Linked DNA regions of Drosophila melanogaster. The gene in region 1 interacts genetically with each later gene. Each region holds a gene or a part of one and is shown in the gene's direction. Other genes may lie near its edges.

Region 1 (5,003 bases):
AAACAGCAGCAATACCAACAACAAGCGGCAAACGGAAACCGACTGAACAACAACAATGGAGACCCAGAAGCCAAGACATACATGCACTGGAAAAAAATTTATATCAATATTTAATTTAAATTTGTGATATGTAACCACACATCGTAGTAAAAATCTACTCATAAATATTATCATATATGTAAATAATGAATTGATGGGAAATTTTATCTTAAAGCGAAGAAATTCGAAAGATATGTGCTTAGACAGCTTAAAATCGTTAGTAGTAGTAGCCTTTAACATATTCCAAGCTCCTCTACGGAAATTATAAATTATATGTTTGTTTATTATTATAGTATATAAGTGATTTTAAAAGTGCACTGCTTATTTATCTGAAAATTGTACTTTAATTTTTTGTTAAGTGTATCTAGCGATTGCAAGGGGGAGACCGAGAAAAAGAGCCTTTTTATGCGGCGCAACTTTGGCGCTTTTTATTAAACAAGCCGACGAAGTGTAGAAGCGAAGAATAGGATGAGGAGGTGGCGGTGGGGGAGAACTGGGGTTGATGGAGCCAAGAAGAGAGCGGATAAAAAGAGCAAAGCATAAAATGAACTTTGCCGGCTAAACCGGTAACACTTGTTTAACGCAAAAGAGAGTGCGGGAGAGCCAGTTATGTGCTGAAAGAGATATGTTAAGTAGAGAGCGACAGAGACAGAGAAAGCCTGATCGGAGAAAAGGGTTCTACAGGTGACAAAGACAAAAGACTGCCAAGACTCCTTTAATGTCATCATTATTGTCAATATAACAAGTTTATTGACTGGCAGCAGATGCCTAACCCCCCACACCTCCCTTGGCGATCCACCACGGGGTCATTAGACAAATTCCCGCGATAAGTTCTCTTCACTCATGCTAAAGCTCAGATTAAACGCAAGTTAATGACTTAATTAACTGCCGGAAAAAAGCGAGCAAGTAAACAAACAACAGCAAAAACTAAAGATAAAGATAAATGGTAAATGCAAGTGCGCAGAGAAATGGTCGACGATAAAAATTGTCGCAGAAATCAAGGAAATTAACGCGTGCAAATATGTATTTCTATAGAGGAAGAAAGCTGGAGAAAAGCAATTATTATAGGTATATTCCAGTAGAGGGCAAATGTCTTCTAACGGCACTTGCAACAGCTGAAGATTACCAAAGAACAGTGGGAAGTGTAACGGGCATCGATGGATTGATATAAAAAGATAAGAAGGTGCGGTGACCTAAGCAATATGACATTTTAGAAACTGAAAAATATTTAGCTGACATGCACTGTAACTTTTTGACATTCGGACATAAATGTTGTATACTCATTTCGTTTTCGGATATGTATCCCATTTCAGCAAGGATTTTTTGCTGGCAAAATGATTCTAGTCTTTTTATATTGGAGCCATTTTAAATGCAGCACTTATTTCTTTTATTCATTTTATAAGCATAAGATTGGTTATAATTTATTATATCGAAAAAATGGTTAATTAATTAATATTTAAATTGGAATCTATAAATATTTAAGTATTTACAAAGTGAATATCGATGTTCAAATTTCCATTGAGCGGGCCCAACACCTAGATTTGGGCACAGCTTCCGCCCCTAATTTCCTATTAGCCCTGTCGATTGCATAATCATCTTGAATTCTAATTAATTAAATGGTCTCTTATTTAGTTGTTTGTTGATGCTTTCTTTTTCCTGTCTGCTAATCAACAGGAGGCCAAGAAGTTGAGAGGAGACAGAGTGCGAGCGAGACAGCATCCAAACAAAAGGCATAACAGCCCTGTCTTTCACTTCGCTCTCTTTGGCTCTCTGGCTCTCCCGCCGAGAGTGTCAAATTCAAGGTCGCCCCCAGTGCTATACTACAAAGCGTATAGCTGAATAAAACCTCCTCTCACACCATTCGAGCGAAAGAGCGCATATTCAGCGTGTGAGCAGGAGAACGATACGGTGAGAGAGCGGCTTGGAAAGAGCCCCATGTTTTCAGTTCCTCAGTTTGTCAGCGTATGCCCTACCATGCGGATGTGCTCGCGGATTGATTTCGACTCGAACTCCGGCTCCGTTTTCGTCTTTTAACGTAAGTCCCGTGCGAAAAAGTTGAATTCGACTCCGTGTTTGTTCAGTTATTTTTTTGCGCGGTTTTCGAAAAAGTGAAAGAAATAAGGAAATTCAAAAAGCGGGGGAGGCATAAATGATATACAGCTAACGGTACTTATGTATGTGCATACAGCAAGATAAAAATGTGGCTGCTAGAAAAGTAAAGCCCGGTACTGTGCCAGATAAAAGCCAACGCTACTAAGTCCTAAAGACCCCCAAAAATTAAATTTTGACACAATAATATTTTGCCAACAACAAATAGCAAAGTCGAATTCAAACGGTTAAACCAAATTGAAGTCGGAAAATAACAAAAAAAGTCTAAACAAAATAAAGAGCAAAAGCAAACGCAAATAAGAGAATAGAGAGAAATATTTATTATTTGCTTATAAGGCCAAACTAAATATTTGCCGCCGGCAAATATTTAAAAGGTGTTAAGTGTTTCGTGGGAGTGAAGTTTTTAAACAGGGAAAATAAATCAAATAAGTATTCAATGGTGTATAAGTGAGTGCAAGTAGATGAGCAACATGTGTGTGTTTTAAAGTGTTTAAAGAGATCGAGAAAAAGCCCCAAAAGTTATTTGACAGCGATATCGAAAAATTCCAAAATGTGGCGTCAAATCCTGTTTATTTTACCCACCCTGATACAGGGGGTCCAGCGCTACGATCAGAGCCCCCTCGATGCGAGTCCGTATTATCGCAGCGGCGGGGGATTAATGGCCAGTTCTGGGACCGAACTAGATGGACTGCCACATCACAATCGCTGTGAACCCATCACCATATCGATCTGCAAGAATATACCATATAACATGACCATTATGCCAAATCTTATTGGCCATACCAAGCAGGAGGAGGCGGGTCTGGAGGTCCATCAGTTTGCTCCGCTCGTGAAGATCGGCTGCAGTGATGACCTCCAGTTGTTCCTCTGTTCCCTGTACGTTCCGGTCTGCACAATTTTGGAGCGACCCATTCCGCCTTGTCGATCTCTGTGCGAATCGGCGCGGGTATGTGAAAAGTTAATGAAAACCTACAACTTTAACTGGCCGGAAAATCTGGAGTGCTCCAAATTTCCCGTCCATGGAGGCGAGGATTTGTGCGTGGCGGAGAATACCACATCATCGGCCTCCACGGCGGCCACGCCCACAAGGAGTGTGGCTAAGGTCACTACCCGTAAACACCAGACGGGCGTAGAAAGTCCGCACCGAAACATTGGATTCGTGTGCCCCGTGCAACTGAAAACGCCTCTGGGAATGGGCTACGAACTAAAAGTTGGCGGAAAGGTAAGTTCTTTAATGAAAATAAATTCACTAAAAAGCGCCGAAAAATAAGCATCATATAAAAATAGGGGGTTATAGGCGCATACTGTATACCTTTTAAAACATTAGTTTTCTATTATTTATGCATTTAATTTTATGATTAAACATGTTATGATTATGACAAAAGTTAAAAACAAGTTCTATAATCATCCGTCGGGTGAGCACAAACTTTTAACCATGTCCAAACTAAAAACGAAGTTGCACAAATAAATTTTGGGTACTAACATCTGTTTAGCGAATGTATTTAGCGCTTTCTTGACTAAATGTATGCTTTAAGTACCCCAAGCCTTTTAGTGAGTATTTCGTTTATTTCTGGAACTTAATATGCCACATTTGGGTTGGTCCCATGTAGGTCAATGATTTTTTTATGTCTTCATTTGAACTCCAGACTCAATTTGTAGAGCAGCGTAGAAGTAGGGAAAAATGCAAATCCTGTTGCGCCGAGAAAACAATTTCCAACCACCAGGGAAAACAGCAGGAGGTCCTTGGCAGGCCAGGAATAACGAGAAGAAGGAGAGAAGGGCGACGAGCCCGCATTCTACCTGCCCGCAGCTCACAAAAGATGGTTAACAGCGGCAGGTAGATCGTTTTTTCTTTGGCTTCGGTTGAGGAAAGGTAAACCAGTTCTTTTTGGAGTTGTGTAATTTGTAATGCCTGCTTAAAAGTATTCCCAAAAAAAGTAAAAAAAAAATGTAACATGAACCATAGAATGTTTAATAACTTGAACTGAGGGTCAGCCTGTTGCATTTTCACGTTCTTTAATTAATTTTCCACCCTTTTCCTTTAGCAGCTTTTTTTCGGGTTCTTAAGCCCCTCAGCAGACTGATTTTTCCACGATTTATTTTCTGTTGGTTTTGGATGAGTGATGATCATCGTCTATGTGTTTCCAATGTGTTTATCTTTTGCTATTTTTAGCCGTCACTCTGTTGTTGCCGGCTGCCATAAGTAAAGCGCATTAAATACTTTGAGGCAGGATAATTCACACTTCCCTCAGTGTCTGGATATCTGGCGGATACATGTGTATCTCTTAGCTACTTTACCATTGCGATTTCTCGGTGTTTTTTCTTCTTTCGTCTCACTCGCTTTTTCTTGATTGGTCTCGTTTTTCCTTGGCTGTGTGTCATCAGTTCCTCTTGGCCTTGCTGCCTTCTTTCCATCCCCATATCATCATGGCTGTCAGCATCTTTGGTTTAGCCGGAGTCCCCAGACCCCGTGCTTAAATGCCTTTTGAGAGCTGCGTGCGAAATTTAGCAGCTTGTTTGCCTGGATTGCATTTGGCCCACATCACGATTCTGTCTGTAAGAGTATCTGCAAATGAATCCGTATCTGTATCTCTGTGTGTTTTGGCCCTGTTTGCCGTGCTTTATGAGCTAGATAGGTCTCTTTGTCTGCTAATGATAATGGCGCAGTGTGAGAGCGTGAATTAATGCTTATTGGATAGATAATGATCCGACAATATAAACATATAATTGCCATGTTAGAAACTAGTGGTATTAACAAGCGTTTTATAAGGGCTCCACAGGTACAGATAAGAAATTGGTCGAAATCAAAATTATAAACTTTATGATTAATAGACAAAGAACTATATTTTAACCCA
Region 2 (4,987 bases), on another chromosome or scaffold:
TTGAAGCAAGGCAGCTCCACCATTTCACCAAAAAGGGAATGATTTAAATCTAAAGATTAACCTTACCAAGTCCGCATGACTAAATTTCAATGAACTATGCTGTCGCACATGAGCAGTGTGTATAGATATAAAATGTTTATTTCTGCAAGGCAAGCAACCACTTAGCACATGGATTGTTAATGAAACTATGCACCTTCTAAGGGCAGAATACCAAACTGATACTGATAGTTTAGCAATAGAAGGAAAGCCATTAACAATGTGAAGGCTCGGTAAAAGTATAAATTGGCTAGTTAATTACGCCAAATGTAGCTGTTGTCCACATTGTTCTTCGCACATGCATATTACTAATATGAGCAGCATCCTGATAAATCTACCACTTTTTTACATTGCCAAGAGGAGCTATTCTATTCCCCTGTTTACAGACCGCATAAAAAATGTTTCTAGCATTCGAAGAACGCATGTTTCGTAGACTTTTACAAATTGTGGTTGGTTTTATTTTCTCATCTCTCTCGTGCAAACAAAAAGCGCTTACAATAGAAGTCTAAAAATGCGTTTTTTAGAATTCGAAGGGGCGCCGTGTGATTACTTGGAAATAACAATGGGCCCGGTCTGCTTGGCGGCATCGCGCTGCTTGAACACGATCTGGTTAGCAATACGGTCCAGATCACGCTGTCCAATGGAGCTCAGTTTGCGACCACCGTCCGGGTGCTTCTCGACCAAACGGGCGTGCTCCAAGGCCTGCAGAGCCTTGCGGGCAGCACCGTCGGCGGCGCGGCAGAAGTGCGAGGGGTGGACACCGTTGCGCTTGCGTCCGCCGTAGATCTTGGTGATCGAACCGACTCCAGCGGGACTGCGGTGGTACAGATGGCGCAGGATCGAGGCGCAACGCACATAGAACCAGTCGGGATCGTAGGGCGCCAGCTCCTTGAATTTGGCGGTCTTGACGATGTCCATCTGGTCGGGCACCTTCAACTTGCCAGTCCTATTTGGTTTTTTTCGTGTTTTTTTTTTTTTTTTTGGGGGGGGATAAACAAATGGATTGTGAGGTTATGTGGTGGAAATATACTTGATGTTCAGTACTCACTTCTTCAAGAAGACGGCGACCGCCTTGGTAACCGCGTGCTGGTCAATATCCTTCACTGTGACGCCTGGCATCTGCGGGCAGAACGGGAAAAACAAATGGGGAATCTATTACAATGCTGCCAAAAACACGTTGTCGCGATTTCCACGATTCTCTCACAGACACACTCTTTCTCTCTCTCTCTCTCCCTCGCACACACACATGCACGGGCACAACAAAAAATTGCCAGCCGAAGTTTTAACCCGAAAAAAGCTGTCCTTTCGTGTTTACGGCCGGCCCATTGTGTCATTTGCCACTTGGCGTGGGCTCTTTCATTGAATTTCACCCATTCAAAACATAAAAAAAAAGATAATTCACTTGAAAAGAATTCGTGCACAACCTTTCTCGTTAAAGTCAACCGGAAAAAAGAACAAGGCGCGTGAAGTTGGCTGCGGTTAATAGTGCTGGGCCTGCCACCAGCAATAGTATCGATTAATCGAATGCCGGCGCGGCGAACTATCGAAGATTCGGTTAATGATACTCTAACACGTATGTGTTCAATTTATAGTTATTTTTAAAAATATTTAAATTAATGAGCACACCAAGATTATATTATATATTACTTGGCATTTGAAGACCTTGTCTAAACATGCATTTTCGTATTAGTATATTTTCAATGTGGGCAAAGAATGCGTAGTACAATTCATATTTTGCTGTATCACTTTATTCATAAATAACTGCTTTTTATTTTGTTAGCAACCGATTTACATAACTATTCATGAAGCTAGTTTCTGAGTCTATCGAATAACAAGCGGCCCATCGATGACGCAGACAACCGATATTGCCGCAGCACCATCGCCATTTGGAGCGCCACCTGTTGGCCCTGGTATATTCTGGTATTTTCATCGGCGCCTAGTGACTTCGATACTTCAACTTCGATATGTAAACACAATTGCCATCTCTACCAGCACCGAGCCGAAATAAAATAAGTGCAACGCGCAGCGTCTAATTGAAACCAAATTGATCTATTTGGCCGCGGCCGAAACTGGACATTCGCAATTTGGGCGGTCAGCCGCCCCCGTCCCGTCCCGCCCCCCCGTGCGTTTCCCCCGCTGCCGACGGACAGTACGTCGGTGTGACGCACATCGGTGTGTGCGCGCGTGTGTGTGTGTCTGTGAAGCGCCTTGTTATTGTTGTTGTAGCGCTTGCTACGTTCGCCGTTCGCAGTGCACTGGTGTGCGTGCGCTCGTGTAAGTGTGTGTGCACAGAGGTATCGTTGGAATTAACAAAAAAATAGAAGAAGGAAAAAGCTACTTGATTGGGGCACACAAAAACCAACAACTCAAAAGGCCGAGAAACAAAAGCCCACCTTCAACACCACCAATCCGCCGCATTCGACACATTTTGGCCAGGTTTTTGGCCACAAGTGTTGACACAACTGTTGCATGCCAAGCGGACTGCGGACAATAATCCCCGTTCCCTTGTTTACCCAACAATCCATCGTGGTCAACGTGATCATCCTGGTCATTACGATCCCATTTGCACAGGAAGTAAACTAGATTGATAGCATTTTCCGGGAATCGATAGCACACCTGCCTGCCGTGTGGGAAACGCACCTGGGAACGCCCGGGTGCTCGGCTGCGTCCGCATGTGGCGTTGGCGGCACTCCACCAAAAGAAGCCAGCGCCAAGTGCCCAATCCCCATACCCATACCCATTCCCATTCCCATCCCCATCCGTATTCGATTGGCGTTCAGTGGCAGCAGTTAGCCAGAAATCCAACGAAACACTCGTGACCTCATCGCCAGCAAACAGCAAACAACTAGCGCTTGACGCGTGCCTCCTCTCCTCATTACTATTAGCATTCCCAGCATAGACAGACGTCCAACAACTCCTGGCAGGTAAATGTACAATATAAATATGTGTACCCCGAAGAGAACTCTGTTAAACCCTTGCTTCGCTTTCAGTTGCAGCACAGGAGCAGCAGTTGACCAACAGGAAGCAGCAGCTGGAGCAGCAGTATCAGCTTGTTATCTTGCATTTGCATGCCAGCTGGACGAGAAACTGTGACCAAGCAGCGCAGCATGGATGTGGAACGAAGGCGCCGGTGAGTGCACGAGATGGCGGCCCAAAAGCGACTGCTCCACTCAATTAATTGTCACCTGAATGGCAGCATCAGCAGCAGCAGCAGCAGCAATAGCAATAGTAGAAGTCGAAGTAGAAGTAGAAGTGGCAGTAGCCATCGCACAGATACGTGCGATTTGTACAGACAGATTTGTGATTTGTTCAACTGACCAAGCCAAGCAGGCAGCTAAGCAGCTAACCAGCTAACCACCTAACCAGCCAACTAGCCAGCTAGCACAATTCAGCGCAAGCCAAACGGGCCTGGCCAAAACAAATCAAAAAGTAATACACCGCTGGCAAACACCTTCCATATCTCATGTTCAAAGCGACAGCGCGGCAATCAAATTGACAAGCGAGTGAACAAAACGGGGGGCGACTTTATAATAAATTTGCCATTTTCGCATTAAAATTTGTAACCAAACCAAAAAGAAAAAAAACCAAAACGAAAACGAAAAGCGAACTAAAACGAACGCACAGTGGCTGATGCCGCCGTTTGTCAGTTGCAGGCGTCGCGTTGCATCGGCTGCATCGTTTGCATCGTTTTGGGCCAAAAAGGTAGAATAGATAGCCAGCACCACGCCGGTTTCTTCCATTGGACAGTAGACGGTATAGGGCATGGGGACATGGCTAATGCCCGCCGCCCTCCATTCGTGCGAGCCGGAACGGTACGTTGTTCTCATCTCCACGCTCCTAGCATTCAGCATTCAGCATCCAGCTCTCAGCTACCAGTTGTCGTCCTGGTTCGCTTGCATTCCAAATTCCGAGAATACAATTTGCCCAGCAATTCCGCAGCGTCGAGTATGCATATAAATACTTAAATTTAATTACCCATCCCCACTCGGTATCTGCTGTAAGCAGTCATAAGCGAAGCAAACGTTAAGGCATTTGCGTACTAACAATGGCCAATTGCAATGCGCATTTGGTTATAAAAGCCGAACAGTTCCTTTGTGCTGCCTGGGCAAATAATTAATTAGAATTAATAAGGTGTGAAGAGATTCTGCAACGCAGATGCAGTACCACTCTCTATCTCTGTGTGTTGAATGTGAAGCGTTCAATTTGTAAAAACTGGCAGATCGAATTTGGCGACGTTGTATAAATTAAGTTGAAAATTATATTGTCTATAGGTGACGATAATGTTGTCGTCGTCGTCGTCATCGTCGTCGTTGGTTATTATGTATTATTATTGCCGTTGTTGTTGTCAATAATGTTGCTCATAATTATGTTGTTGTTGCCATTTTGCCGCTTTGGCCAAATCGAAATCAACAGCGGCAACGAAAATTCATCGCAGCATTTTTGAAAATTCCACTTTCCCAAGTTGTTTGCTTTTGTGTATGGTGTGTGTGTGTGCTGCTATTACCCGCTGCTTGAGCGTTTTGTTTTTGGCTTTTCTGTCATGCCGTAAGTGGCGATGATGAAATCACAACAATTCAAACACCTTTTAGTATCAATTTTTAGCGCCGACTGTCATCGCAGTTTGCCTGCTCCTGCATCTGAGTCTGACTTTTGCTTGCTGGGCACCGAAATTCGATTCCCAATCGCTGACAGACTGACTCCGCATCTCCGACATCTTGCATCTTGCTAATTGCACATAAATCTTGGTTACGGGAATTAGTTTTTGACCGGAAAATGCCTTTAAATTTAGAAATTCAGAACCAACGCACTGGCAGGCCAAATTTAATTGTTTCATTCTTTGCCGAATATGTAGTTTAATTTGCCGAGAAATTCCATTTGAAAGAGCGCTTTTCCCATGCTCTAGTAACCTCGTATGCAAATACCTAATTGTTATAATTAATTTTCTATATAT
Region 3 (4,669 bases), on another chromosome or scaffold:
GGGCCCCATCCGATTCCAGCCCAGTAATAAAGGCCTTTGATTATGTTGCCCCGGGATCCCTTGGGAACGGGCAAACCTTGTTGTCTACCGCTTGTCTGGTCTTTCATAATTTACAGCCTCCCAAAAAAGCGGAATGGAAGCACCGACGCAGTTCTCTGTCCTTTGAAGATTTTGCAAGTTTAATTTATGTGGGTTTGTTTTTTCTTTTCTACTAGCAGTCTCAGCGCACATTAAAAATTCATTATCAGCATAAAGCTGGAAGGTTTCGGGAAGATGGGGTGGCTCAGCTTACCACGACAATTTTGTGGAAAACCAGGAACTACACGTGCAATTATTATCGCTGTCTGACCCAGTTGCTTCAAGGAGAAACGATGGCTTACCTGAATCGATAATTCCTGGCTGCACGTTAGTTTGTCATCCAATGAATCCTATTCGGAGTCCCTCACTTAGGATTCTGGAAACGAGAAACCATAGACAAAACGTGAGAGTTTTGCGGAACTAGTCGCGACTTCTTCTTATCCTTAACAAAGCACTCGCGACAACAACAATCGATTCTGTTCGTTTGCAGTTATTTCTTCCGCAAATGCAAATTGAATTCGCTATTGCGCTCTAATTTCGGCACATACACACGCATACGCACTCTCGCCACACATACACACGAACACAGAGAAACTGGTCAGCAGGCGAATGACGTCATTGCCAAGGATGCTGCGCGCATCTCAAGAACGCTGCCAGAAGTAGCACTTCATTTAAGGAACTGTGTTCTTGCTCTTAGTTGGAATCACTCAAGTCCGTTTCCCCAGAATTAAAAGTTCGCAAGGAGCCCGCCAGATATTTTATTAAAGTCAATTTAATTGCGACTGGCGCCAAGCACTCACATCTGGCTGTGATACTCGGAACTGGACTTACTGATTCAAGCGCGGACCTTCACCGTTCCTCGAAAAATTCAAAATTAACTGAAAGTATCCGCACATCCGCGCATTAACCCAACGGTTTATTGAAGTTTGGTTTTACCAAGAACTGATTCGAAGAGAGGACAGCACGCGAGACCCCGCAAAACACCAAAAACAAAAAGGCGGTAAGGTATTTTGATGTTGTCGTGCGGTCCAACTAAATGAACTACGTATATGTCAAAAGTAAAATCGACATATACGATACTTAGCTTGCACTAATTTGACCAATATTATAAATTGAAAAGTGAGTTGGAAACATCCTTTGCTACATCTGAATATGCAAGTGAGTGAAATCGGCAAAATAATTTAATCTCATTTCTATTCCGGAAGTATTCGATTCCAATCGACACCGCTTGGCTTGAAGCCGCGAATATTTCGATCTTAAGTGCAGTCATGAACCAGAGGAAGCTGATGCGATACTTTGCTAAAAACTTAGATATTCTGTTATAGAGGAATACAATGGCCGACCTGAAAAAATGTTACAGGTGTGTGCTTTAAACAAAATCTAGATGCGATCCATATGTAGAATTTTAATCAGTGTTGACATATCGATGTATGTGTTTTCAGAAAGCGCTGCCGCGGCCGTCGTGTGAACTACGACATATCGATGCATCGATATGTCCGAATGGAATCGGAAGGCATCGATTACCATCGAACTCGAAAAGTACTCGGTCGGCAAAACGGCAAGCGGCGAAAAACAGTGAAAAAAAAAGGGGGAAAGCGAAAAGACGTGCTCAGGAACTGCGGTCGAAGTCTTTGTGAGTGTGTGTGGGTGCAGCTGTCGCCAAACAAATGAAAAGCGCCTGGCTTGCATTAAAATCGGTAAAAAAAAAATCGGAAATGTGCACAGGCATCCAGCGAATGCAGCGACCTATTCGCCGGCGTCGGGACGCCGCCAGCTGAAACTGCACGGTCGAATTTGGCTGCATTTGCACAAACGCTGTGCTGACGCGGGGAAATGGGAGCATAAAAACCGAAACTTGTGTGCGAAATATGCGAATATGCGAAACCTTGGCTCCCAGTGCGATCTATGTGTGTGTGTGTGTGAGCCGTGCTGTGTGTCGGTGTTGCAGAACGAACCAAGTGGGAAGCAAAGCGAGAGAAGACGAAGAGGAAGAAAAAGAGCCGCTTGTACCTGCTCCGAAAACTGAAACATCCGAAATCGGAGGTGAAAAGGTGCTCTGATAGTGTTTAGCTGCAGTTTTAGGAGATGCAAACTGGTTAATTGCTACGTAACGCTATTTTTCCGCTAAATTACTTCACCACCCCTTCTTCTACGTTCAGCGGTGACTTTGGCTTAAGAAAATGAAAATGTGTGGCCATATTTTTTCCTCTCCGTCTTTCTTTCGCCTTCGCGCTCTCCCTTTTGAAACTCTCGCCGCGCGCTGTTCTCGCCGCCTCCGTTTTGTGCCGCACTTCCGAGATAAAGAACGCAAACGCGAGATAAATGCGAAATATTGTATCTGAGGAGCGAGGCAACATACTCATTGTTCTCATCGATTTGTTTTGTCCGACAGAAAAGTGCATTGCATCCGAAAAGCGAATATCCAGTATCCAATATCCATTATCCGAAAGCAGCTAATTACCGACAGACAAGGAATTATTTAGAGATCGCCGCCAAAATGTCGGAGGAAGTAGATCGCAACGATCCGGAGCTCAAGTACCTCTCGGTGGAGCGCAACCAGTTCAACGATCCGGCCACGCAGGCCGAGTGGACACAGAAGCGTCTGGTGTGGGTGCCACACGAGAACCAGGTGAGTCTACTTAAATGTAATGCCTACCCGTAGAGCATGTTCCTACTCTGGACGCAACCTCTGCTACGGGATTTCTACCCCGGAAGCCACGCCCGTTTCAGTGAACTACCTGAATAGACCCTATAGATAGCCTAAATGCAACAGGAACTGCTACAACTGAGATAAAAATACAGTCGATACATCATAACGCTGTTTATTTCGTGAAGTCGGTAGTCATTAGCCCATTATGGTTTTTTTTTTTTTTTTTGTAAAATTACCAAATGTACTTAATTTTCGTTTAATTTTCATATTCTTTTGCGTAAAAAATTGCTACATGTAACTATCTAATATCTAAGTATTACTTCGCAGTGAATGGTTATTATAGAACATAGTGTGTTCGACACATCGTGATAATATTTTAGCCCTAGCTGTACGTGCTCTAATCAATTTTCACAGTGTTTGTCCCCGGCTTTGCGCTTCTTATCAGCCAACACCTTTTGAGCCATCCGACTCACTCATCGATTGGTCATGAATCACGCTTCACCGATCCGTTTATTTTTAATTTTGAACAGGCCCAACTTCTTTGAATTTTCATTACATTCGCACCGCGGTGATAAACTTGGGTAAACATCCGTTGGCGTCGATGCTGAATCACTCTTTTCTCCTGCGCTGATGCTGAATTAATCTCACCGTAGTAGTGTGACACATTTAACTTCTTACTTGGTCAAATCCGCGACCATTTGGTACCAATTTGCATGCAGACGCTCTTCGACTCAGTGACTCACCTCCGAGGGAGAGTGGAAGCAGGAATGGCCCCAGTTCGCAGTTCCCACTAAGAGCGGGCCAAAACAAGTTTTCAATGTGGCTAGGTATTTGTGGTGTGGACTTGCTTGTGTGGGGCTTTCTGGCCTCAACCACACAGCCAGGCCAGCAAAGAAACGAGCCGAGATTGCGCCAAAGAATCGCTTCCCTCGGAGTTCGGGCGCCCGCTCTTGGCCTATAAATTCAAATTCAAAACTTTGGTCGACTGCTAGCGATCAAGCCTTATGATAACAAGCCGATTGTTTTGCTAATTTCGGTGTGGCTTGTTATTCTCTTCTTCAGTTTAAAGCGATTTCATTCAGGTGTCATTCAACTGCATTCCAACGACTTAATTTCAAGACCATAAAAAACGTAAACAGATAAAATTATCAACCGCTCCTTTCTCCCCTGGCTGCCCGTAATTGCTGTATTTGCCAGAGATAATTCCGTACATAGAATGGTAGCACTTTTGGGTGACTTCGTATAATAAAAGCAACATCGAAAACAAAAGCCAACAACTTCACATTTTTGTGTAATTACGCGATCACTTTAACAGACATTTACTTTACAATGGAATCTCACAAAAAGACAACGGCAGAGATAAAACCCAGAAATAAAACGAAAATAACGAAACGCTCGATTGTCATGAGTGGTCCGTCAGATTGTCTAAAGGCTAAAATTTCTTTGCGACTGACGAACGGCACATGAGACGGGTGGAAATAGTTAAGAAATTTGCATATAGCGCAACTGTTGCTCCGCTGGAATGTCCACAGATACAGCTACGTCTTAACGGGAACGGACCCGTCCAAAAGGGTATTCGCCAATTGTGTCAACACTCGTTTCGTTTCCAGCAACTGTTCCAGCTTTTCGAAATGTAAGCGAATTCGCTGAATAATGGCGGCGTCAGTCCACGTACGTGATATCCAAATTCAGTAATTTACTGGTGGATACACAAGGAGACCTTTTGTTCGTGGCTACATTTCGTTTCATGTTGTTTGCTGAACAGCGATGATTCATCGAATCAATTGCACAGAGAGCAAGTTTATTGGTGGGGATTAGATATATTGTACATTGAAGGTTTCGGGTTATAGGTTAATGTATATTTGCGATCTTGAAACTATTTAAATGCTTTTAATAGTTCATAGCTTACTTTTCCATTGTCCAACGATGAAATTGAAAAGT
Region 4 (7,759 bases), 1.6 Mb from region 1:
AGGTGGTATAATTTCAGCTTGTATTCAATCGATTCCTAATGAGCTTGAACATTATTGAATATTTGTATTGCCCAATCCTAATGAGTCGAATGGAAATTATTGGGTGGCTAAGCAAAGCAGTTGGAACCAAGGTAAATATACACCAAGTTCATTCGAAGATCGATCGGATTGAGTGTAATGCATTTCGAAGAAATATTGTGTCTCGCAATTTGTATGGATTTTGACTTATGAAGACCTCTATTTTCATTGACATTATAATCTTAACTCATAACTAAGTAATTCAATTATAAATATTATGCAGTTCTTTCATTTGCCAAAGGGTAACATATATATCATTTATAATTACATTAAACCAAAGAAAAAACCGATCAAAATAATACATCTATATGAAAGTATAATCTCCAATAAAAGGATTACTTATCGAACTATTTCCACAAGCGTGGCTTTTACTTTCTCATTCATAGAGATACAAAAGCCAGTCGCTAGAACCATTAGCACTACTTCTTAGATAGCATTGGGCTAACCCCTCCCAAATTTGATTCCATATATTTTTACTCCCAGCCTAAGTTTTTTGATCCTGACCGAAAAAAGTCTGTTAGCAACAAATGTACAACGAAAGGAATACAGAAAAAAAAATTGAATCGAAAAGCAAATGCTACCCATTAACAATAAAATACACAGCGAAAAAACAGTGGGGGTGGCAAATAGGCTGGTCGAAGAGTGGGCGAAATGGATTGGGGGGGATAAAAACAAGGCAGAAATTCGTTTTTTATGTACCGCGAGTTTTTTATAGTTTGTTGTTGCTGCTGTTGTTGGTGGCACGTTATCAACAATCTCGTTTTACCAAATAACGCAAAGTGCGCGTCATGGCATTGGTGCACTGCAAAAAACATTGCTTTATTGTAATTAGCATAACCCATTCATAAAATCTATATCTATTTGAAATAATATATGTAAATAAGGGGTTTTTTTATGGTGTGTATTAAAAATATTGTCATATTTAAGCGAATGTAAATTTAAATTTAAATTATCAGAATACTAAGATGCGCATTTAATATTAAAATAAAAGTATCTGAAAGAATGCAATAGACTAAAAGCGGATTAATCACTAAAGAAAGGAAAGTTAACTTGAAGTATTTCGATAAAAACTTTTTAACAGTTCCCACAAAAAAATATATTACTGAAAATCATAGTAGGTAGGAAGTAGGAGCAGTGTTAAGATCACAATGACAGCAAATATTTTTCCCAGTGCATTTCTGGCTGGTGCTGATGGTGGTTCCTAGTGTTTCCTGGTGTTTCCTGGTGTTGGTGGTGCTGTTGGCGGGCAGCACACGCTACAGTTCGCTTATGGAACGGCTCAAACTGCATTAAAGAGCGAAGGGAGTGGTCGTGGTAGTAGTTGGTAGTGGTAGTGGTAGATGGTAATGACAGTGGTATTGGTATTGGTCCTGGCCGAAAGAGAGTAGTTCTAGAAGGCTAGGGCTAGTGGAAATTGGTAGGAACACTCCGACGTATATAGCGTATTATATTTTTTTACTCAGTTTCGGTGGTGGCTGGTGGTTGGCCAAAAGACGGTGGCAGGATGACGATGATGATGACGACAGCAGGGGCAGGGAACCTACCCTCGGATCGGGCGCTCTCTCTTTCTTTCCTGCCCCTTCCCTTCCCGCAACGCCAGGTGTGTCGGTGTGTCGGTGTGCGTTCCTGCGAGCTGCTCGCACCGTTTTTGCTTTAAAGTTTTGTGTGGTAGCAAATAAAATTTTAGTTAGTCACTTGCCGTCGTCAAGGATACGCCGTTCAGTTATTTGTTGTGCAACGTTGTTCCTGGCAACCACGAGTCCTCGGGCAGCAAGGACCTGTGCCGCTTCGGAACGAAAGGCTTTCAGTGCCAGGCTCGAATCGAGTGCTAGCGACAGGGACAGCAACATTAGCACCTGTCTAGATCTAGAAACCTTTTTATATACTCGTTTATTATCCGGCCGGTAGGCGGCAGCGCTGCCAACTGCGCAGTCAACGTCGACGTCGCTGCCTAGCTCACCTTACATAGCCGCAAATTCAAATTTGAACTTCAGTCAAGTGTCAAAGCTCAAAGGATTAGCATGTCCTTGCAGCTGCAGCTGCAGTGTGAACCAGTGAAGACCACTGAAAAATACAATCTTCAGAACCAAATTACTCACTAGCTTGCCAAAAAGTGAAGAAACACGGCCAAAAGCCGAAAAGGATCAACCTGAAAAGTGCTGACAACTGCCAGATTTGGAGAAACTATCTAAAGGTAAGCGATCTCAGGTGATCCAGCGATCCAGAGCTGTAGCTCTTCAATTTGCTGACTTTGAGTCTTGGCACTGGGAGAATTCACAGTTGACTTTATTATTCTGTGGTTCTGCGGGTGCCAAAACTTAAAAACCGGCTTTGTACAACGATTTCTAAGCCATTACAATTTGAACAAAATAAAATAAGTAGAGCGTTCTTAGGTTTATAAGGAGTATATGGATATAGATCAGTATATATCAGTATCAGATCAGTATATCTATATGTATATAGATCAGTTGTTCGAATTAACGAAAAACGTTGTAGGAAAGTAAAGCCCCAAAAAAGATCTAAAAAATGTATTAATAAAATAATAATAATATATAATAATATATAATATATATATATATATATATATATATATATTATATAATATAATACAATAATATATAATAATAATATATATATAATATATAATATATACCCCATTTAACTTGTTTTTTTTTCATTTAAGACTTCTAGGCCAATCTTAACGATTGAAAGAGTTTTCATTAAGCTTTAGAAACAACCTAAAACCCCTATATATACTATTCTTCCTATGTCCAGTAACAGATCGACTGAAATAAAAGTCAAATCTGTTTACATATTTAATTGAAAAGTAGTTTCCCTAAGCCAAAAATAATTTTTTCTTATCCAAGTTTGGACAATACATTATCAAATCACAGCCATAGCTATATTACTCATACGCCACCGGTACCAACCCCATTGAACTGCCAACGTCACGACAGCGTTGGTTCCTCTACTTTCATTTTAGAATCCAATGCGCAGTACCAAAACAAAATTAATTTCCATCCAACACGCAACGAAAAAATCGAGTAGGATTTCAGGGGAGCAATTAATTTGGGCCGGGCTAAAATTGTTAAAGACTTAAAAATACATAAAAAAAAAACAATGCCCAGAGTGAGACACAATCGCTGGCTAAACTTTAGAGACATTGAACTTTCGGGGGTCAAAAGTATTTCTCAACTTGGCCAACTGCCCTCTCATAAATGTATTATGAGGGGAGGCAGTCAAGCCCCCTCTCAAAACAATTAAGTGCAATGCAAAGGGCGTGTCAGAGTTCAGTAATTGACCTCACCAATGGAAATTTACATTTGAACTTATCTTGATTGGAAATTACATTTTTAAATGTACACTGTACATGTCCAGATGTCCAGCGTAATCAAAGGCAGCCCCCGTTCAAGGATATCTAGTGGCAGGACTATTGGCCCAGGTGGAAATCCTTTTGCAAATTGCTTCACTCATAACTCATTTCTCTAATAGAAACGGGGGCGTGGCCCATCGCTAACGGCACCTGTCCAGAGAGCAAATAAATATTTGATGAGGGAATTCTGAAAACTTCTGTAAATTCCGATTCAATTGTAGTTTTGAGCACAAATAAGCTCCTTGGGGAGCTTACCTTAGTTGTAGTTCTTTAAATAATTTTTGAAATTAAATTAATTGGTGAGCAGTTAAAATGAATTTCGGAACTTTTAATCTCGATATCATAAAAGATCTAAATACTCATTGTAATTGAATTAGTTGGAATGGAATTTGGGAACATTCATTCTAAAATTAAACAGGATAACATGATCGTATATATTTAATTTATATTTTAACCTTTTGCATTGCAAGGACTATTCTATCTCCCGTAAAAACAAAGCAATTTCAGCACTTATATTTTAGAAAATTGCTAGCCAAAAATATTTCAGCACCCTAACCGCCGTCAATCTATATAATTTGAGTTCCTTCGCTGCATTTTCCGGCGGCATAAATTAGCATTAATTCATAAGTCAGTAGTCAGGCCACCAATTGCAATCCAAAAAAAAAAAAAAAGAAAATGAAGCAGAAAGGAAAATGTTTTTCGGCTGGAAAAGCGAATTTGCATACAAACTGCAATGTTCGTACAACGCCCCCCGAACAACAAATTATGTGTGGGGGGCCCACAGGGGCCGTGAAATGGTGAATAGGGTCCTAGTAGGCCTCGTAGGATTCCGATGGCTTCACTTGGGTTTGTGGCAGTGGCGAATGGTGGATTGAATGGGGGGGGAATGGTGCGACAGCCTAAACGCCGGCAATGTTCCTGAATAATGGGCCACCGGCGCCAACTGACGTTGGTAGGCAATTTTCTAGGAATCTAGATGGGTTTGCGTCGTGTGTCTATGGTGAGGTGCAACTCTATACATATACATATGTATGTGTACTATATGTACCATATAGGTGCACATGTTGTGCGGCAAAGGGCTACTGCATAATTTATTTAATCGCGGGCAACAAATCTAAATTGATCGTTAGGCGTAGGCGAACGAACAGCCAGCTGAACCAACAAAATGTCTAACAAGGATATTGCATGTTCTCTATATGTATTAAACTATTTTTTCCACCGCTTTTCCATTGCAGTGCCAATTAGCCAGAGAGGTTTTTCAAAAGGCGGTCAAAGGAATATGGCGCCCCAACAACAGAACTCCACATTCATCGATGATAATCTGGACAGCTGTCCATCGCTATTGAATCTACCCGAAAGTCCCATTCTTCCGCCGCGACGATGTCAAAATCAAGACACCAACAATAATAATAATAATAATAAGCAGGCTGCATTCGAGGAGCGTTTGGTGGATGAATCGCCATCGGTGGGGGAGCCACCATTAGCACCACCCATACCTCTGGCCATACCCATGGCACCAGCACCACCACATCGGCAAGCATGCAAAAATAAACACGGCAGGGAAAACGGAAACGCTGGCCAGGCCAGTCGTCGCCACCGTTCCATTTCCCTCTATGGCGTTAATAGCACTGTGGTAAGTGCCTCCTCCTCCTGCTCCTGGTCCTCCGGCTCCTTTGGCCACTCACCACCCCACTCCAGTCCCCGCCCCTGATTTTCGGTTGCGCCAGCATTTCCACTGAAATAAAACAAATCATCTAATTGGGTGGGCAGTCACTGGCGGTAGTCATATGCTTATGTGGATAGGGTTATACTTACATATAAGCGTGTGTGAAACTTCGATAGTGCGTCTGTTACTCAAGAAATTGATTGCAACCTTGCGTTTTCGTAAGAATCGAAAGGAGACTTAACTTAATTCTTTAGATATTATCTAATGGTTCTGGTAATGGGCTTAGAACTCAAAAGGGAGTCGTTTATTGAACAGGATAACATTTAATGGACTTGCTTATAAATAAATAAGATAAAAATGAGATTTAACTCAATATTACCATTTAATTATATTGGCTTAGTAGGAAAATATATAGAGCTTCCACCAAAATATAATCAAATCTAAATAATTCCTTGAGCACTTTCATATCTATCCAATATAGAAAGTTAGTACAGGTAGATTTCAATACAGTTGATTGACTATTATTATGAGTATTATTCTTTAGGAGTTTACCTTAAATTTATATTACCTTACTATAAAGAAATTCTTTGAAAATTTCCCTTGCTTCTAAAACCCATACCCCATCTTACAACTCATTCCTAAAAACCTGGCAATCCTCTTAATCGATCTACATACTCCTCTGTTCTTCTGGCAACCCTTCAGGAGCAAGGCCACAAGGAAATACCCATCTGGATGGACGACGGAGAGGCTCGTTACGTATCCGGAGTGACGAACAAGACGACGTGCGATGACATAATCAAGGCGCTGATTGATGACGAACTGCGAAACGGCAATGGATTCTACTGCGGCAATAATCCGAAAGGTAGGTTAATAATAATAATTCCCAGGCGATCCTGTCGTGACTGCTACTTTTTTTTTTATACATCACAATTTGGCTTTTTATTTATTTATGCTCCTTATTTACAATTTCTTTTATTTTCTCTCATTTTGCGTTTCGTTCCGTTTCATTCAATTTTCCCGTTTTCCGCACGTTGGAAAAACAAGATGGCGGCCAGAGGAAAACGGCAGCAGCATCGCGTGACTACAGCGATTACATTATAACGGAAAGTTGGGGCGGAATAGAGCGGTGCTATGATGGCAACATGGCCATTTTGCCCGTTTGGCGCGCTTGGAGCCGTGTACACAATGAGGTAATGGCAACGGTCGGTGGACCAGGGGAATCCCACCTGGCGTGCAGAAAGAAAAGGAACAAAATAAAACAGAAACACCAGCGAACGGGGCCCGAAAGCACAAAAAAAAAAACCAAAAGTCTACAGTGATTGCATAATAAGCGCTTTTTTCCTGGCGCCACACGCAAGCCAAGAAATTCATGTCGTTCTCGAAAACCCATTCCATACGTTCTCTATATCCCCCTTTCAAAGTCACACCCGCGCCTATTATATATGTACATATGTATATATATATGTACATATATAGTACCACTCGCATTTGACTTATGCTTTGGCTTTTCGTATTTATTTGTTTATGACGCACAGAGTGAAATCAATTTGCTTATTGATTTTTATATCAAAGTTCATGTTTTCGTTTTGGTCTAATTATGTTGTAAATGTTTTATGACCCCAACCATTAGCAATGGGAATAATGTTATTCGAGGAAAAGGAACTCCTAATTGTTATTTGATGATCTTATCCAGTTAATGGATGGAAAGGGTTAAAAACAAGCGCCAAGGTAGTTTTATTGTTAGAGATGTATTAATGACAATATAATCATAAAGTGGGATATTTAGTTTTACCTTGTTTTGTATAAATAAAAAAATAGTCAATTTGTGGCGTAAATAAGAACAATATACAGTGAGGAGTAAAACATGGTCAAGAAGTCATAAACTTTTAAGTTTTTAACGAACTTCAATTCATTAATAAATAATTATTTCTCCTGTTTTTTTACAGCTCCGCATCTCCTTAAAACATCGTGATAGTTTCAGAGATCCCCTTGCCATGCAATTAGTGCCCCATTCACAATCAGCCACGGGATTTTCGATGTACAAGTGGCTCAAGAAGCTATTGCATCTGAAAAAGGGTAAAAAGACGCCACCAAAACCCACAAAAACGCCTCCAAAAGTGCCGAACAAATTAAAGGAGAAGAGAGTGCACGGCCAAAAGCAAACGATGACCAATGACTTGGTGCTGGTTATAATGCCAGACCAACTGTATAGGGGTACCGAAAACACTGCCAAATCCAAACTTTATAAACTGGCCGAGAATCGCGTCAGCAAGCAGCGTCATCGAAGAAGAAGTCGTCACGAGATAACCAAAGCCTCGGTTGAAACATTTAGAACAGCGATTCCCAGCGAATGCAATAACAACAACTACAATGTTAATAACTGCATAAGGAGGCGAAAGGATAAGCCCTTGCGAAATAGTGTACGATATAAGTTGGCATCTCTTCATGCCGATATGAATGTTCGCTATGAAAAGGAACACGCTCTAACACGTCAGCTATCGGAAATGTGCCGACTGTACCGATTGCAGAACGAACGGTACAAGGGACCGGAAATGGAGCTATCGGTCGGGCAGTTGCAACAAAATATCGAAGCCTATGCCGAGGACATTATTAAAACTGAACACGAACTTCTCGAATTGAAA

The links.
Region 2: of fz (region 1) and Rok, changing one suppresses a phenotype caused by changing the other (phenotypic suppression), as found in Drosophila melanogaster (one study listed by BioGRID).
Region 3: of fz (region 1) and zip, changing one enhances a phenotype caused by changing the other (phenotypic enhancement), as found in Drosophila melanogaster (2 studies listed by BioGRID).
Region 4: of fz (region 1) and meru, changing one enhances a phenotype caused by changing the other (phenotypic enhancement), as found in Drosophila melanogaster (one study listed by BioGRID).

The regions. Positions count from the first base shown.
Region 1 is NT_037436.4:14,272,357-14,277,359, forward strand, and holds the start of fz (frizzled), read left to right. Parts: upstream 1-1,986; 5' UTR 1,987-2,698; coding exon 2,699-3,370; intron 3,371-5,003. UniProt on the Drosophila melanogaster protein: Receptor for Wnt proteins.
Region 2 is NC_004354.4:16,634,401-16,639,387, reverse strand, and holds the start of Rok (Rho kinase), read left to right. Parts: upstream 1-1,973; 5' UTR 1,974-2,960; intron 2,961-3,026; 5' UTR 3,027-3,104; coding exon 3,105-3,166; intron 3,167-3,720; exon of another isoform or gene 3,721-3,813; coding exon of another isoform or gene 3,814-3,848; intron 3,849-4,987. Other genes in the region: RpS19a (ribosomal protein S19a), read right to left, coding at 583-982, 1,085-1,155.
Region 3 is NT_033778.4:25,008,418-25,013,086, reverse strand, and holds the start of zip (zipper), read left to right. Parts: upstream 1-1,623; 5' UTR 1,624-1,745; coding exon 1,746-1,775; intron 1,776-1,878; exon of another isoform or gene 1,879-1,987; intron 1,988-2,470; coding exon 2,471-2,707; intron 2,708-4,669. UniProt on the Drosophila melanogaster protein: Nonmuscle myosin appears to be responsible for cellularization. Required for morphogenesis and cytokinesis. Necessary for auditory transduction: plays a role in Johnston's organ organization by acting in scolopidial apical attachment.
Region 4 is NT_037436.4:15,838,057-15,845,815, reverse strand, and holds the start of meru (meru), read left to right. Parts: upstream 1-1,753; 5' UTR 1,754-2,272; intron 2,273-2,320; exon of another isoform or gene 2,321-2,410; intron 2,411-4,686; 5' UTR 4,687-4,730; coding exon 4,731-5,084; intron 5,085-5,819; coding exon 5,820-5,979; intron 5,980-6,161; coding exon 6,162-6,307; intron 6,308-7,063; coding exon 7,064-7,759.